Linked DNA regions of Drosophila melanogaster. The protein of the gene in region 2 purifies or fractionates together with the protein of the main gene of each other region. This does not show direct contact. Each region holds a gene or a part of one and is shown on either strand. Other genes may lie near its edges.

Evidence for each region.
Region 1: the proteins of kek1 (region 2) and kek5 purify together in Drosophila melanogaster (affinity purification with western blotting; one study listed by BioGRID). This does not show direct contact.

Annotation. Positions count from the first base shown.
Region 1 is NC_004354.4:19,350,613-19,357,721, reverse strand, and holds the start of kek5 (kekkon 5), read right to left. Parts: upstream 4,542-7,109; 5' UTR 4,069-4,541; intron 1-4,068.
Region 2 is NT_033779.5:12,815,633-12,825,609, forward strand, and holds kek1 (kekkon 1), read right to left. Parts: upstream 7,156-9,977; 5' UTR 6,029-7,155; coding exon 3,386-6,028; 3' UTR 1,368-3,385; downstream 1-1,367.

The DNA of each region.
Region 1 (7,109 bases), on a different chromosome or scaffold from region 2:
TCATTTTTAACGTTTGCCCACCCTTTAAAAATAAATTATTTCGTTTGCCCACCCTTTGTAAACTGTAAATTACAAGATTGGCAATCGGAACCAATTTTTGGTCTATATAAACCCAGAAACACCTGTGCGTCTGCACGTGTTATGTAGGCAGATCCTAAAACTAGGAAAGTGGCACGTGTTTATATGGTGGGCAATAGAATTTATTTATTCTTAAGATTTTAGGATGGGCAAACGAAATTATTTAGTTTTAAAAGGTGGGCAATCGAAATTATTTAGTTTTAAGAGTGGGCAAACGAAAAAAACTAATAATAATGGTTGGGCAAACCTTTTTTGTTGATAATATTTGGTTTTAAGAGATGGGCAAACGATTTACTCTCTGATTAGACCGAGGTAAACTTAAAAGCCTTATATTTTCTAAAGTATACATTTTTTCAAAATTCTAAAGGGTGGGCAAACGTGGGCAAACGATGTTATTGCGATTTAAAAAAAAAAATTTTGAAAAAAGCGAAATTTTTGATTTTCGAAAATTTTCGAACTTTTTCGAAAATTCATATCTCAAAAACTGGACGTGGGCAAAAAAAACTAATTGGTGGGCAAACATGGGCAAAAAATGGGCAAACGATTCCAGCTTTCAAATTTCAAAAATTCGATTTTTCCGACCCCAGCTTCTTTGAGCTTTCAAGAACACCAATATGAAACAAATACAAAAATAAAATACCAATAGTAGAGTTCGATAGACTCCAATGATAATTTGAAAGCATCCCGTTATGGCCATTCCAAGACTCTTTGTCATTGCGCTGGGAAACCCTCAGGCATTTTACGAGGAGCACTTGGTGGTGGTTGGGTGGTGTTATCCATCTTCTGCAGTGGAACACAGTGACTTGGCCTCAAGTCCAGTAAAGTCGAAAACGTTTTCGATATTCAGCTCAACATTGGGAGCTTATGTGTGAAATGTGTGTGTGAAATGCCTTGGTTCGCATCTATGTATGTACACATGCCACAAGACTGCTGATGCATCGTTTATCACCACTTTTTTGTTTGGTGACTTCCCATATCCCAAGTTGACATACGACCAATTCCAATTTCAAATCAATGACCTCAAGTGTACCCTCTACTCGTTTGATAATTTTCGTTTGCTGTTGTTATTTTCCCTGTGTTGTTTACGAATATTTAGATAACGTCTTTTTCGAGTGCCGTCGGTGGAAAAAATGCGGTGACAATTACAAGCGTGCGATGTTTAAACAATTTCCGACTCCGGCATTCGGGTCATTGTCTTGATAAAAGAAAAAAAAAATCGAGCTCTATCAAAAGCTTACCAGTTCCCCCAAGCCAATTGTACTTTAAAATGTTGAGGTAGTTTTAATGAACTTCGAATTCGTCGCTTCTGCAGTCGACTGACTGACAGTCCAACCACAAAATTGCCACAGGCATACAGCCAAAAAATTCAGCTTAAGCCAGACGCAAATCGCACTGAAAACTTCGTCTCGTCTCGTCTTGTCAACAAATTGAAGGTAAATCTCTTCAAGTACTTTTTGCTTAACGTTATTTATGATTTTTCTAAAATCCTTATTCAGGCTTTCCTTGGATAATCTTTAATTACACTTACTTGGGTTGAATGTAATATTACAGATGTGAGATGTTCAAAGCCATAGAAAAGAAAATCCCTTTCATGTGCTTATTTGGTTTTTAATTGTAAATCTTATTTATTGCAGAACGTTTTTTACAACATTTTATCTATAAGATTGACGACTAATCTATGCTATGTATGTATGTACATATGGCTTCAAGTGCTTGTTTATAAATGTCTCACATGTTCCTTTTAGTATCATTTCGATTAATGGTTCATGTAGAAAATAAAAAAAAAAACAATACTTAAGTGAATTTTGTTTAATAATTGCTTTCAATCAAATACATACATACACATTTCTAATTGGTCTTGATCGTTTTTGTGGCAACTGTACATATTGTATGGGTACCAAATTTGTTGTTTCTGTTTGATCCAAGTGTTTTGTGAGACAAAAATTAAGTGTAGATTTCTGCACCGCTTTTCTATGTTACTCAGTAGAAAGAGTAGGGAATATTTGTCTTTTGAAGTGGAAAATCTATTTTCGTCATGAGGAAATCATAATAGTCGTACGCATCCCTAAATCGAAAAATTCCATTTCTGTCATATTTAATTTGGCTTGTAGTAAAAAGGCGCCCCAAAATTAGATCCATAATCATATTATACCATTTAATACCCATAAAAATTTAGGGTAGTAAACATAAATTTTGACTACAGATTTTATATTTTCCGTAAATAACGCGCACTATTTTAATTTATAGCATTTCTAGGATAGTATACATATGTATAAACTCCATTTCCGTCAAAAGATTGATGAAACCAGATGAAGCATTCCTCAAAGCGAATGCATACACTGCATACACATCAAAAATGTTTGGGCGTGGGTATATCCTCCAATTGTTTCCCAACAACTCTTATTGGCACTTTTTCTTGTGGTCTTAATTTCTGGGCCGCAATATTCGCATCTTTGCTAATCCCTTTGTTTGTTTTTAGCTTTCCCGATTTCCCCTGTCCTCCTGCTACATTTTCGCTCCTTTCGCCTGCAGTTCTTATTCGTCCCAAGGATAAATTCATGAAAACAAAAAGTGCTCCGCCAAAAACACCAACTCACACACACACACACACACACACGCACCTACATACCTACCAATAATACCAAGGTAATAGCACCCGCAGAAACACACGCACACTTCGACAGTACCACTGGCGGCTAACTGTACTGCATGGACAAACACACAAAAAAGCGAACAAGAAAGTAAGCCGAAACTTACATACCCTTGCAGTAATAATACAAAACACCTGTATACCGAGCAATACTTCATGATTAAGAACCGATGATTATTTTATCACTTTCAGTTAATTTTCTTATTTTTCCTATGACAGCTATGTACATGATGCAATAGCTATAAAACTGAGACTTTTTTTTATGGAAATGGACAGACAAACGGACAGGTGGACCGTTAATTAGACTCTAAATACTGATCATGATATTCCGATATACCGAATTTAATGTGCCATCTGCAAGGGTATATAACCTGAAATAAGAACAGAGAAAAAGTTAAGTTTCTCTTCTGTTCGCTGTCTTCTAATTTCTGTTCGTGCTTTTGTTCTTCCCTTACTGGTTTGTTTTGTTTTGTTTTGTTCTGCGTTTGTTTGTTTGTTTTTCTTTCTTTCTTAATTTTTGGCAACGTCAATTACACGCGAAACTTCTTGCCTGAGTGCTTAACCCTTGGCAGGGCGCGCAGGTAGTGAGCGCTCTCGTATTAACCCTACAGCGCTCACGCACACACGCGTGAAATATGCAGAATATATGGTTGCAAATTAAATATCATATTGCATATTAGCCACCAATTTGCAACGGGATCAGTGTATTCTGGCTAAACGAATTAAGTTAGTTCAGTGGGGAAAACAGCGATCTCCGTGCGGATGGTTCGTTACTTCAGTTTTTGGGGGTTAATGGCTTTTAAACTGCAGACTGCACTTTACGTACATACGTACATATATACCTAAATATATATGTTTATATATACATATGTAATATGTATGTTTTCTTCATTTCTTTGCCTTTCCCTTATTTTCCTGCCTTCGGAAACGCAAATGATGCAGTTTGTTTGATTCATTTGACATTACAATTGCTGCAGCTGCACGTTGTTGTTCTCGTTTTGTTGTTGCTGCTGCTTCTGGCGATGCTGCATTTTGCTTCAGTTTCAGTTTTTCATGTTTTTCCAAGCACAAACCACGCTGCAGTCGCTGCTGTTGTCGTTGTTGTTGTTGTTATCATTGCTGCTTCTGTTGTTTTGCAGGTAAGTCGAAGATGAGTGTTGAACCGGTTCAACGGGTACACACGACTACCATTGAAAGAAGCCACATACGTACATGAAGACAGACACACACACTCTCACACACGGGCAGCACTTACACTCTCCCTCCCGCTCGCTCGCTCTATCTCTCCCACTCGCACTCTATGCACTTATTTTAACTCTTTATCTCTCCACTCTCTTTACCACGCTTTGTGTTGATCCGCTCTCCGCTCCGTTATTTACTCCACGGCGTGACTTTTCCAAATATAATCACCTTTTGGCTTTAGCTGCTTGTGAGGGGGTTGAAGTGGTGTGTGGGTGGGGGGGGCTTGTTGTTGTTTTCGTTTAAGGGGTATCACTTGCAAGTAACCGAAAAAAAAGTGTGAGTAATGCACTCCGGGACAGCCGCAACAGCCGCGTGTTTGGCGGCGTTCGAAAAAAAAAGCAAACACACACACACTAGCCGCCACTCAACTCAAGTGAACTCCACGCGACGCGAGGCGAGTCGAGACGACTTTTCGTGTTTCGTTAACCGCGACTGTCCATTCAATTGGCGGCAACAACTGACTGCTTCGCGCACTCGAGTACGTACATATGTGTATGTGGGTGGGCGATGCGCTCGACGTTTCACTCTAGCAACAACCTACGCGACCGGCGTTTGCAACAACACTGCGACGCACATCTGTTCGAGAGCAGGCCGCTCGAGCCGCATCGAACCGAGTCGCAGCGAACCGAACCGAACTAAGCCGAGCCGTCATGCAACATGTTCGACTGGAACGTCAGCTGAGGGGTTGCAACAGCAACAAAGCACTGAAACAAAACGTGTGTAACGAATTATAAAATCAAATTTACGGCGATTTTTCACTTAATGAATGTATACAAAAACAAAAAAAATTAAAATCAATAATTTTTTTTCAATAAAAAAAAATAATTTTAGTTATCACCATAATCAAATCAAACAAAACCATGGTACGAAAGTCGTGACAATTTTACCCTTAACGATTCTGATGCCAATGAAATGTGTTTTTTTTTTTTTGTCTTATTGTACAGCTAGGATGTTGAGATTAAGCATACATGTTCTATACATAAACATAGACGCAGAGCCAGTTTGTTGACCCATTTTGCCACGCCCACTCTAACGCTCACAAGCCGCCAAAAACTACCCAAGCAATTTTTAAATAGTTTCTTATTTCATTCCCCAATAATATCTACCTAAGAAAAATGTTAAAATTTCGCGTTCGCATTTCCATTAGCCAAGTAACCGATATACTCGACTATAGATTCTCCCTTCTCAAGAACAGAGCTCAGTACAAAATATATACATATGTATTCAAAAAATCAGTTGAACACAAAATAAGAATTTCAGCTCCATCGCGAACGTTAGAAACTGAATGAATTCATCAGCCAGTTGACAGAAGTTTGATTTTAAGACCTCTGATCGTCGAACAAAATGGAAAGGAGCTGCTGCTTGGTAGTGCAATTCATTTTAAAATTTCAGCGGCTAGCATCATTAATTACGTCACCGGCGAAAAAAGAAGGAAAGTGAAGCGTTCTCTGTGCCCCTGAATAACTGCGAAGAATTAAGTACGTCAGTAAGGGGAGAGCATACACGCGCCCATGTGTGGAGCCAGCCAGATACACTGCGAGAAACGAGTGGCAATTCCAATCCAATACATAAATATGTAAGGTTCCCTTTACATAAAATTAAATAGTAAGGTATCATGGGAAACCAGTACACATTGATAATAGCATAAGAGCAATGGCATTATTACTACATTTCAATGAAAGATACTTTAAATTGCTTAATTTTGGAAGTTTTCGATGTTTGTTATTATGCCTTAATATTAATATAGCTTTATTTCCTATTTATTTATAAGAGATACCAGAAAGTGAAGCTAATTTTTTATTAGACCTGAAGATTTAAGAGGCATACGCAGCGCAAGTTAGTTGTCAAGTAATGTTGGCACCTCCACTTTAACGCCCACAAATCGCTCAAATCTGCCACGCCTACACTTCTTGAAAATGTTTTGAAATGTAAAAGTCGACAACTAATTATGGACACCCTAATTTTAAATTTGGTTAATTTGATTTCTAATTAAAAAAATTTAAACAAGCAAAGTAAATCTTTTACAGAAAAAATACTGGTTTTTTTATTTATTTAAAAAACGCATCTTTTGTTATAGGGAAATAGAAGTGTTGGCGAGCAATCGATTTTTTCGCCAATTGATTGTGTAAGTTTTAAAATAAAAGATGTATATTTTTTTGATTTGAAATGCAGAAACTAAATGAAATGCTGCTCGATCATGATAGGTTACAATTGGTATTGCAGCATTTTGAAATGTACAGTAGACTAAACACAGATGGACGCCAAATTAATTATGACAAATTATGCTATAAACTGGGCACATAAGCACCAAATCAAGCTAGGATCATAAAAATAGAACACACATTTCATGAGAACAAGGTAACCATCTTCTATGTTCGTTTTATTTAATATTCTTTTATATCCTTCCTATCTAGGACTTACATATATTTTCATTTGGTGAGTAAACATTTCAACAACTGCGAACATATAAAACACAAGAATAACACACTCCACTTACAATATTTTACGTTTTCTCTATTTTAGTTGGTTAAATGTTTAAAATTGTTTTGTTTTTTGCTTTTATTTAAAGATCGACTCTATTCAGGCATAATAACTTATATAGTTTTAGAGAATATTCAATGAATATTTCCTCCAAAAGGAAAAAGACATTGACACCAATGATGTGGAATCTTCTATTCTGTATCTTCTATTCTGTATCTGTATCTGTAAATGAAGAACTAAAACCATATGAAAATATGAACATCTTGCTGAAGGAGCAGCTGACTCAGTTGAGTTGGTGAGCTAGCTTTAGATTTTAGATTGATTAATGAACATGAACTTTAACAATAAGTTGCTCTTAATGGCGACTCCGATGAACCCAAACGGAGGACTCCTTGAAGCGCACCATCAGCCAGGTGGCGTTGCAGGCGACGGAGGAGGAGCCAACTAAAGTGACTGGTGACTAAAGTAGCCAGGCTCATCACCATTTCCAGCTGGCCCTGCAGTTGGATGTGCTAGTTGGATGCAGGTTTCCCCATTTCGGTCGACTTCGGTCACTATCACCATCATCATCTTCCTTGCTTGGAAAAGTTGTACGAGATCGATTTGGACAACTATGCGGCTGAGGAGTTTGCGGATCTATCTGGAGAGCACTGCCAAG
Region 2 (9,977 bases):
AATGTATGCAACATAAAAGTGCGACGAGCACCTGACGATGCCACAATGTCGGAGGCTTCATTAGAGATCACCTGGTGGGGAATGGCAATTGCCGGGCCGAATTGGCGGAGCAGATAGCCGGGCCCACGTTTTGCATTTTTGGTTATTTGCACAGGCGGCACAACGGCACGTATACGTAATAAAGTTGAACAAATAAAATACACTTTCCTTCGGCGCAGAAAAGTTCTAATTTTTTCCCAACCCCCCTCCGCTTTCCATTCGCCTGTTGGCCTGTGTTTTGTTTGGCTTTTGTTGGGCTTCAGTTGCAACCTAAATTTCATTTGAGGCACAAAACTTGTTTAGTTGGCAAACTTTGCGCGTCGTCAATAAGGCTTGGTGGCCATATCCGCAGATGCGCGGGGTCTGGAGCTTCGGGGTGGCGGGCGGTTGAGCCCAGACAGTTTGGCATGGCCGCACGCCATGATATAATCTGGCACTGGGCCGCCGTATATATTACGCGCTGCCTAACAACTCCCGCCCACAACACCTCCTCACCGGAGGCAACTCATCCACAAATGTAGGTACACGCTTTGGTGAAGAGGCCACTGGGTCGCAGGGTGCATATTGATGGAGTAGAGGTCGCCCAAAAAGGCATCTCCAATTTGCCATGGAAAATGTCTGACTAAAACTAGTCCGCTCCGCACAAGTTCAGGGATTAAAGATAGTGGGAATTTGAAAGGAGAAACACTGAAATGGACGGCATTTGATTTATACACTACTCGAGTAGTGAGTTTGTAAATTAAAATTTTGAAACGGTGCTTAGTTAGAATCTAGCTATATTTTGGAATTTTATTATGCAATGTTCATTAAATTATTTCAAAAATTGATAAAGCACTTAAAAATGTTACTTTTAAGGTATATTTTTTTGTAAATATGCCAACTAACAAATAAGTTCCATTATTATTCCTTGACTCAGTTTTAAGCTTCTGAGGGTATTCCATATGCCTCGTTCACGGACATGATTTTGGCCTCCCCCGATTAGCCATATCGATTCAAGCCACACTTTTAGCTTGTCTGCGTGTGTGTGTATGAGGTTGGGTTTTTGGGGTGGGGTTTTAGGTTGGGTTTGAGGTTGAAATGCATAATTGGCGATTAGACGATTGGCCCTAATATGCCAAAGCGCAGCAGCGAATAACATGGGAAGCGCAGCATGGCCAGCTTTGGCTTTAGCCCCATCTTCGGACAGCATTCGAATGGCCAACTAATTGGGTCATGTCATCCCCAGGTGACCTGCGAGCCCCACCACTGCCCCCTCTGCCCGGCTAGCCGAGCATAGCATACCTACCTTTGGCTGAAATCTTGGTGGTAAAAAATAATGACAATGGTTTATGTTTTTCGTTTATATATAGATATATATAATGTTATATATATTTCCTTTTTGCTTTGTTGTTCATTCAGTTGCTTTCATGCATTCAATGCCCGCCTTTTGTCTGCGGGCTATCTTCTTTCTCCCTCCCGCTCTCGACTTTCTCTTCCTCCCTTTCCATCGCTTGTTAGCTATGCCGCTCTGTTGATAAGTGTACACATCTATAGACTATATACTATACGTAGGTTTATATTATACAATACATAATACATAAGTTCAACTTAAATGCTACGGTTTTTTCTTGCTCTTTTTTTTCTCGTTTAAGATTACTTTCGGCTGTGTGTGTGTTCTGTATCTGTGTTTGTGTGTGTGTGTGTGCCTACGAGTCCTTTGAAGACTCCTGCGCTCATTTAGATGCAAAGAAAAAAGTCTTTGGTTTACCTTAAAAATATTATTTTGTTTGTGTTTCCTTCTGGTTTTTGTTGTCTGCTTAAATTCTAAGTCTTAGCACATACGGGCAATTAATATCTTGTGGATACGCTTTAAATCGTTACAAGGACAAACTGACATACATCTACATGTACACGTATCTGTCTATGTGTTTCTTTTGCCTGTGATGTGTTAGTGAGCGTGTGTGTGTATGTATGTGTGTGTGTGTGTGCACTTTGAGTACAATTTACATATGTTATATTACGTATGCATTCGTCAAATATTTTTCTCTGTCTTCAATTTGAATTTTCTCCGATTGGTTTTCATATTTGTTTTTTGACTGCCCACAGTTTTTATTTTCTTAAATTTCATCCCCCCGAGTTTGCATTCTGATTGATTTAGTGGGAAATTTAAAAACATGTGGTATTGGTTTTTCAAAATTTGTTTCTTAAACTTTTGGTAGCAGTAAATAACGTTTTAGGGTAAATAGTGCACAGCAAATAACGTTTTAGAGAAAGCGAACTTAATTTGATTACGATTACATTTTTGCAAATGCAATAATAAAATAAAATAGATGCAAATTAGAATGGATGACAAAATCATGTTGATACTGGAGACAAAAGTAACAAAAAAAGAATTTAATACAATTGGCAATTATATAACAATTTTAAATTATCTCGTATATAAATAGAATGTTAGATAATAATAGTTCCAAAAACTTCTTTACTGCTACCCCTTTGGTAAGACTTATAGTCCGACTTAGCTTAACAATATTTCACAGCTTCTATCGGGAAATAGAATGGTTTCAACAATAGTCGGATCAAGAATTGGTTTTCCTTTGTCTATGGGTTATCTAATATATACAGTTACCAAGATTTATATAACTTCTTCGGCAGTTTTACCATGCATGTGAACGTATATTATACAAATGTTGAGCCACAAGTTGGGATTTTCGGTGTCTGATTTATGATAATAACTCTTGGAGGAAGGGCTTATTGGTTTTGGGTTCCTTTTTCCTTTTTTTTTTCTAACCGAACAACGAAGAAATTACACACACACATGCACACACATAGTCACATACATATTCATATATATGTGTATATATATTCATATTTATAGATTTAGTTACATTCACATGGTTGGTTTTCCATATATGTATTTTTGGGTTATTTTTACGTTATGCGGGGAGTTGAGAGTTTGTCATGTTATTCAAAGAAAGAATGCTGTACATATCCTATTTTAAATTAGTTTAAGTTTACAATTAGTTTAGTTTAGTTTAGTTAGTTGAGTTACTTGCCAAGTATACTTTAGTGTAGTGCAGTTGATTTCGTTTTAGCTTTCTCTTTGCTTTGGGCAATTATTATCTTCATTCGCATTATCTTTTTGTCAGACACTATCACAAACAGTTCGCTTGCACAATAATCGCTGCTCGCCTAGGACCCCGGAGCTATCTATCAGTGTTATACCTAAAAGAGCTACCTCCCATCCGTCGCTACACCTTATTTGTTTTTTTTTTTTTTATTATTTTTATATCTCTTGTTTAGTTGTGTTAAGTTTAGTCAGTTCTTGGTTTGGTTTCCTCGCCGTTCCTTCCGCCGAGAAGCGCTGCGCTTACACATCCGTGCCGCATCCTTCCTGGTATCCCTCGTCCGGCGAATTCCGGCTGCTGCTGATCAGGGCCCTTTTCAGCGCCGTCACGGGTGGCAGGACGGGCACACCGCCCTTTTGCCACACCCGTATCGTCTTGGCGTTAATTGGCTGCCCGTTGGGCAGGATGGAGCAGGAGGAACTGGAGGTGCTGGGATTTGCCGCCTGGTTGGCATGGCCACCGCTAACCGCTGGCGTCGGCGACGACCGTGAACTGCCGCCCCCGCCACTGCCCTCGTGCAGGCGTGGCAGTGTGCGGCTACTGAAGTGCGGACTGCTCCCGGTGGAGCTGCCCTCCTGCTTCTGATGGTTCAGCGTGGAGGTCAGCTGCTGCTGGAGCTGCTGCAGTGGATGCATCTGCAGCTGGTGGTTGTGCTGGTGCTCTGCCCCCGGCACCAGAGGCAGACCATAATCGTTGGGGTAACCCGATGAGGAGCCACCCGACAAATTAGTGGTTACCGTCGACGCCGTCGAGGTTCCTCCACCGCCACCCGTCATCATGCCCTGCTGGAGGTGAGATCTCGGGAATGTCTTGCTAAAATAATCCGTGGCCGCCGTTCGCTCATGAAGGTCGTACAGCTGTGTGGAGTCTATGATGGGCGTCTTGTCGGTGTAGCGCTTCATGAAGAGGTCATCCGCGGATGTGGTGCCCACTGGAGCACCATGTTCCCACAGACCCGAAGGATACAGGGAATCGCAGCCGTTGGCGCGACTATACTCCCCACTGCCGCCGACTCCAACACCACTGATGGGTGGTATCTTCAGATCCGCAAACTCGTCGCTCCCAAAACGTTTGGTATCATTAATGAGATCAGGATTGTTGCCACCGTTTCCGGTGGATCCACTGGGCGAGATGAAACAGGAGGCAGTGGACAGGACACTTCCGTTGTTGTCATAGCCCTGCGTAGAGTACGGAAGATCTGTTAGCCTCGGCGGTTTCTGCACGGGATTTGCACTGCGCTGATCGTGAACTCCATGCGGTACACCTCCCCGTCCGCTGCTTTTCCGCTCCAGAGTTCCTCCCTGCACCACTCCGCCATCGATTATGTTGGCCACAGCTCCATTGGCGATGACCACGCCGCCAATACTGCCATTTCCCGTTGCGGGCTGCGTCTTGTTTGTTATGGAGTTCTGGTGGTTAACAGATGTTATCACCTCCATGTGATTGGGCGTCTTGCTATCGACATACGGCTGCCGTTTTACCCTCAGGAGCAGGCACATGATAACCCCAAGGGCAAACACAATCAGAGCAACCAGGGCGGCACTCAGACCCACAATTTGGCCACTACCCAGGGAGGCCATGCCCGCAGCTCTCATGCTCACGTGCAGGGTGAAGTTGGCCTCGGCCATCCCAGCTCGATTCTCGGCCACGCAGTAGAACTCACTGGAATCCGTTTCCTGTGCGTTGGTCAGCACCAGTTTGGATCGCTTTTCGAATCCACCTTCCACCTGCTCCAACATGTGTATCCTCTGGTACGCGGTGAAGGCGGAATTGTTGGCCAGCAGCCGTCCGTTCCAGTACCAGTTGATATTCGCAGCTGGAACCGCTCGAGCTCGACATGTAATCGAGGCATTCTCGCCCATGGCCGCCTCCACATAATGCGATATGGGCAACATCTCCGGTCGGCAGGCAAACTCATCCACATGCAGATCCGCAAAGCTGCGATCGATAATCCTTTCGGGGCCACCCGAGCAAACCGGTGCCACCGGATAGGGTATGTTCCTCTTCATCAGCCAGAGCTTCGTGTCCCTCAATCGACAATCACAGAGCCAGGGATTGTCGTGCAGTTCGATGCCATGAAGACGACTCAGGGTCTCAATTGTCTTGGGCAAAAGCTCGCTCAGTTTATTGCCATTCAATCGGAGCAACGTCAATCCTTGGAGGCCACCAAATGCCTGGGCGGAAATGGTCTGAATATCGCAATGCGACAGATCCAATTTGTGCAGCGATGGTGTGTTCCCGAAGGCCTGGCTCTCGATTTTGTGTATGTGATTGGAGGCCAGGGTGAGTTCGCGCAGTGAGGGTATGTGGCCCAGGGCCAAACTGGGCACGGTAACCAGCAGATTATGTGACAGATCCAACTCCACCAGATTGGTCAGTCCCTTGAAGGTCTCCCGCTCGATTTCGCCGATCTTGCAGTTCCTCAAATACAGCTTCTGCAGATTTAGCAGATTCGCACGGATGAACTGCTCGTTGGAGAGGGTCTGCAGCTTATTACCGGACATGTCCAGCACCTGGGTATTGGGATCGATGTGCTCGGGTATCTGGATGAGGTGGCGATCGATGCACTCCACCGTCTGCTTGCCACCCTTCCACTTGCAGGCGCAAACCGTTTGGCAGGTGCTCTGCTGCTGGGCGGGGGGATCCAAGTCGGAGTGGGTGGGCGGAAAGTGCTGGCTGGGGGGCATGTAGCCATCCTCAGTCATCGGCTGGCTGTCCGCTATGGAGTACACCTCGTTCTGGGACGAGGGGGCGGGCCTGTAGCCTCCAGGGCCCGATGACGATGCTCCTCCATTGGCATACAGATGCAGCTGATTGTAGCGAGTGCCCAGGATCATTCCAGGCAGCAGGGTGAGGACCAGGAAAACTGCTTCCCTGATATGCATTTTCCTGGATTTTTCTTTAAGTCTTCTAGTTGAGCGTTCTAGGCCAAAGCCCAGTGTTTATTTGCGATTAGCAATATCATGGGGGTTTCAGTTGTTTTAGTTATGATATGATGAGTTAACGATTTTCACACGAATACATCGGTCTTTTTGTAAGTTTTTTAATTTGTTTATGATATTTTATTCTTTTATCTGAGTTAGTTTCTGATTTAAACTAGTTGATGTGTCCTGTGTTGATATGGAAACGTTTCCAGTTCTCGTTTAAATTTATATAGATTTTGCATTACTTTTTGCGTAACTCAAGGATATGTTTCGTTGGGTTGACCTTTTGCTCTTACTTTCGTGCGATTGTATCCTTCGTTTTTCTGCGCCCCTCTTTTAATTATGATATGGAAACTTCCTTATGGGTCAAGCGGAAAATTGATTAATTGCCGCCTTGGCTTCACTTGTTGTTGCTGCGGTTTTCGCCAAGATTTTCATGTTTTGCCGTAATTAGCGCTCGCCCAGACCCAATGTTATTTATAGGGCTAGCTCCCGCACACACACGCGCGCTCTCTCACTCGCACACACACACACACTGGCACACTCGTTTGGATGATAATCGTTTTTATTTTTCGGCCAACGAAATTCGTATTTCCCTGGCTGTTTTTTCTATTATTCTTTTTCTACGCAATTTTCCTTCAGCTATTCTGGATTTTTTCCTCTTCACGTGCTGCTCATACATGTGTATATATAATATGTATGTATATTTTCTTATTTCTTTTTTTTTTAATGGTTGGTTTGTTTTGTTGCTTCGGTTAGCACATTTTGCCACGCAAAGCTTTAATTCGCATCGCGTTTTTTCGTCGTTTTCGGTTTCGTTTTCGTTTGCGCTACGAGCGAACCTCGGTCCACGCGAAAGGGGATGGTGTTTGAATTGGATTTTTGGAGCGAGGGCGGCGCGATGAGTTGTGATCTAGGCATTGATTGTGCCCATTGCCATTGCACACACTGGCAATTGTTTTCACTGCACAAAATAACGGTGTGTCCTGGCTAGCGGTACTCTCACACACAGACACACACTCCAGCGGCACTCTTACACACACAACGACAGCGACAGCTACAGCGGGAACGACGCAACCGCTCGGCAGCGTACATCGACTTGAACTGAACTGAGCTTCTTCGATTTCAATCAAAGCCTCCGCAGTCGCTTTGCCACTCGGCCGCCGCCGAAGTAACTTCGGTTGCTCTTCTGCCGCTCGGCTCGCGAGCGGACAAAACGGAGAAAGCAGACAGAGAGAATGGTCGTGTGTTGCCGCAACCGTTTCGCAACATTCGCATGCAACATGTGGGGACTGCCGAATCGGTTGAAAGGATTATATTACACACGCCTCCGTTGTAAAAATCTCGAATTGGCTTCGCGCAGTATAAACAAGGATTTATGCGGTATAAATAAACATCCGTGGGCCGATCGCATGACATCATTAAATCGCATTTAATTGGCCCGACCTGTTTTGTTGTACTTTATAATAATATTAGCTGTGGTTGCGGTAATAATAAGGAATTCCTTGAAGTAGAAAATTTATGAAGAATGCAGACTTTGATTAAACGTACAAAGGCCCAACTCTTATCCGCCAAGAACACAATTTATATTGTGGCCTCGTCGAGCTTAAAATACTTGGAAATGCAATTGTTTTTTTGTTTTTAAGCATTTTGACAGCTAAGTCATAAATAACATTAATTTACCACCATATAGAATTCTAATCAGCTTTCGAAATTCTTTATTTTCCCAAAGAAGATACCTTTCCGACTAACTAACACGTCTTGAAAATGTTTTACAAATTTGTGGAGTCTGTTTACAGTGTTTGAATGTACTTTGGGTGTTCCTAACTCGCCATTCCCATTCCTTATTCCCATTCATCGAGGCCCCCGCTTCACCTCCGCACCTACAGTCAATCAAAAACAAAAACAGACCCAAAAAAGAAGTCAAATTAAAAGAAAGCAGTACACGAAAAGAAAATAATAGCAACTTGCTAAAATTAATGATACTTCAAGTTCCTTCCATCATATTCGTAAAAATAGGTTTCGCTTATTTTAAATAAATAAATAATTTAATAAATGTATTATAAATTTTAGTTTGTATTATAATATCATACATACCACATTTATTACACATTTGTAACAATATATATATGTCTTTTCATGCTTGAATATTCCATTGACTTAATTTAAAAGTTGTGAGTTGAAATCACAGTTTACCATACATTTTTTCAGTGCTAAACAACAAAAAGAACTGCTAAGCTTGCAGCCGGCAAGACGAATGAGTAGCTGAAAAAAGGCGACTTCGCTTCGCTTGTCTTTTCTTTGCCTGGCTTTGCCAGTCGAGTGCGGCGTAATTTCAGTCTTGACCGAATGAGTCACTTCCGCCAGATACGAGATACTGAAGCTAAACTGAATGAATTGGCTGGAGCTGCATGGTGTGCAGTGCACACTGTGCACAAATTTCACAATGTGATGATTTTATGGCCGGCTCGTTCATTCAAGATCGGTTTGCATAGTGAAAGAGCTCTCATGTCGACCGATCCGGTCGCAAAAAACTATCTCCGCTTAGTTTAATGATGCTCCAGAACCAGAACTCAAACCAGTACCCGAACCATAGTCAACACTGGGAATGGGACTGGGACTGGGATTGGGAATGGGAATGGGAATGAGAAGAGCTCAAACTAATTAGCCCGAGGGGCCAGAAGTTGAGCTTGAAGTGGAGCCAGAAATTGCGTATAAGTTACTTCACCTGCGGAAGACTCGGGGCAGCTACATGATACCTCTCGTGTCTTTTGGCCAGACAGGAAACGCTCTCAGTGTTACCTGTTTTGCCCCACTCCCTTCCCAACCTGTCTCTCTATTCCATATGAATGAAACTGCAGCCGAGATGTGCCATAGCAAACCATCTACCATCTACCAGCTGCCTCCGTCGAGATTCAGGTACAGATTCAGATTGCCTGAGAAGTTTTCGCAGCAAACTTGTTTACAGCCAGCAAGCGCGCAGGCATGGGGAAAAAAAGACAAAAAAAAAAAAAAAAAAAAAACAGAACTACTTGCCTTGTTGTTTGTCCTCTTTCGGCCGAGAAAAAACGCGATTGCATATGCTTGTTACACTCCAAGATACATTTTCCGAAAAGATACATTTCCATTTTCCCACCCACTCAACGAAAACAACTGAAAGCTCAACATTGCAGACATTGATTAAGGTCAGTTATGATTGCTGTGTATTATTTTCTCGTATTTTCCACTGCTTCGTTCGTTTGTCTAAGCTCCAAAAAGTGAAATCTTCTCTTGCGTGTTTCGGTTTTTTGTCTTCTTTTTCCGTTTTTGCTGTCGAATTTTCGTTGAATTGTTGGGCAGTCATGCATGAGTATCTCTGAGTTGACTTCAGGTACCCAGAACTAAGCAGATTGGGTTGAAAGTTGGAACTTTATTCGCTTGAATTATTAAGTGGAAAGATCTTCTCATGTTTGGGCATTTTATGTCAAGCATTTTGGCCACGTTACTCTGGAAGTGAAATAATTTATGTTGTGCCTAAAGTTTGCTTTAAATAGCTGGTAAAGGCTTGGTAAATAAATTAAGACAAAACAGAGAGGAGCTATACAAACTATTTTCCTCGAAATCATATTGAAGGTTTACATTTTCACCTTCTATAATTGCTTCATGGATTTATAATATTTAATAATTGGTAACACACGTAGTATTTTAATATGAAAACTAAAAACTGCCTTCGAAGCAAACTCGTTATAATAAAATTATTGTTTTCTCCGCATTAAAATATTTGACTTCCTTTTTCCCAGCCCCTTTTCCCCACCTTCCCTTCGGTTTTGGCCACGCTCGACCGTCTTTGACGATCTTTTGCTTGGGTTGGCGAAAGTAGAACTCGGCCACTATGCAAATGACTTTTGGCCGCAACGGAAGTTGGCAAGAA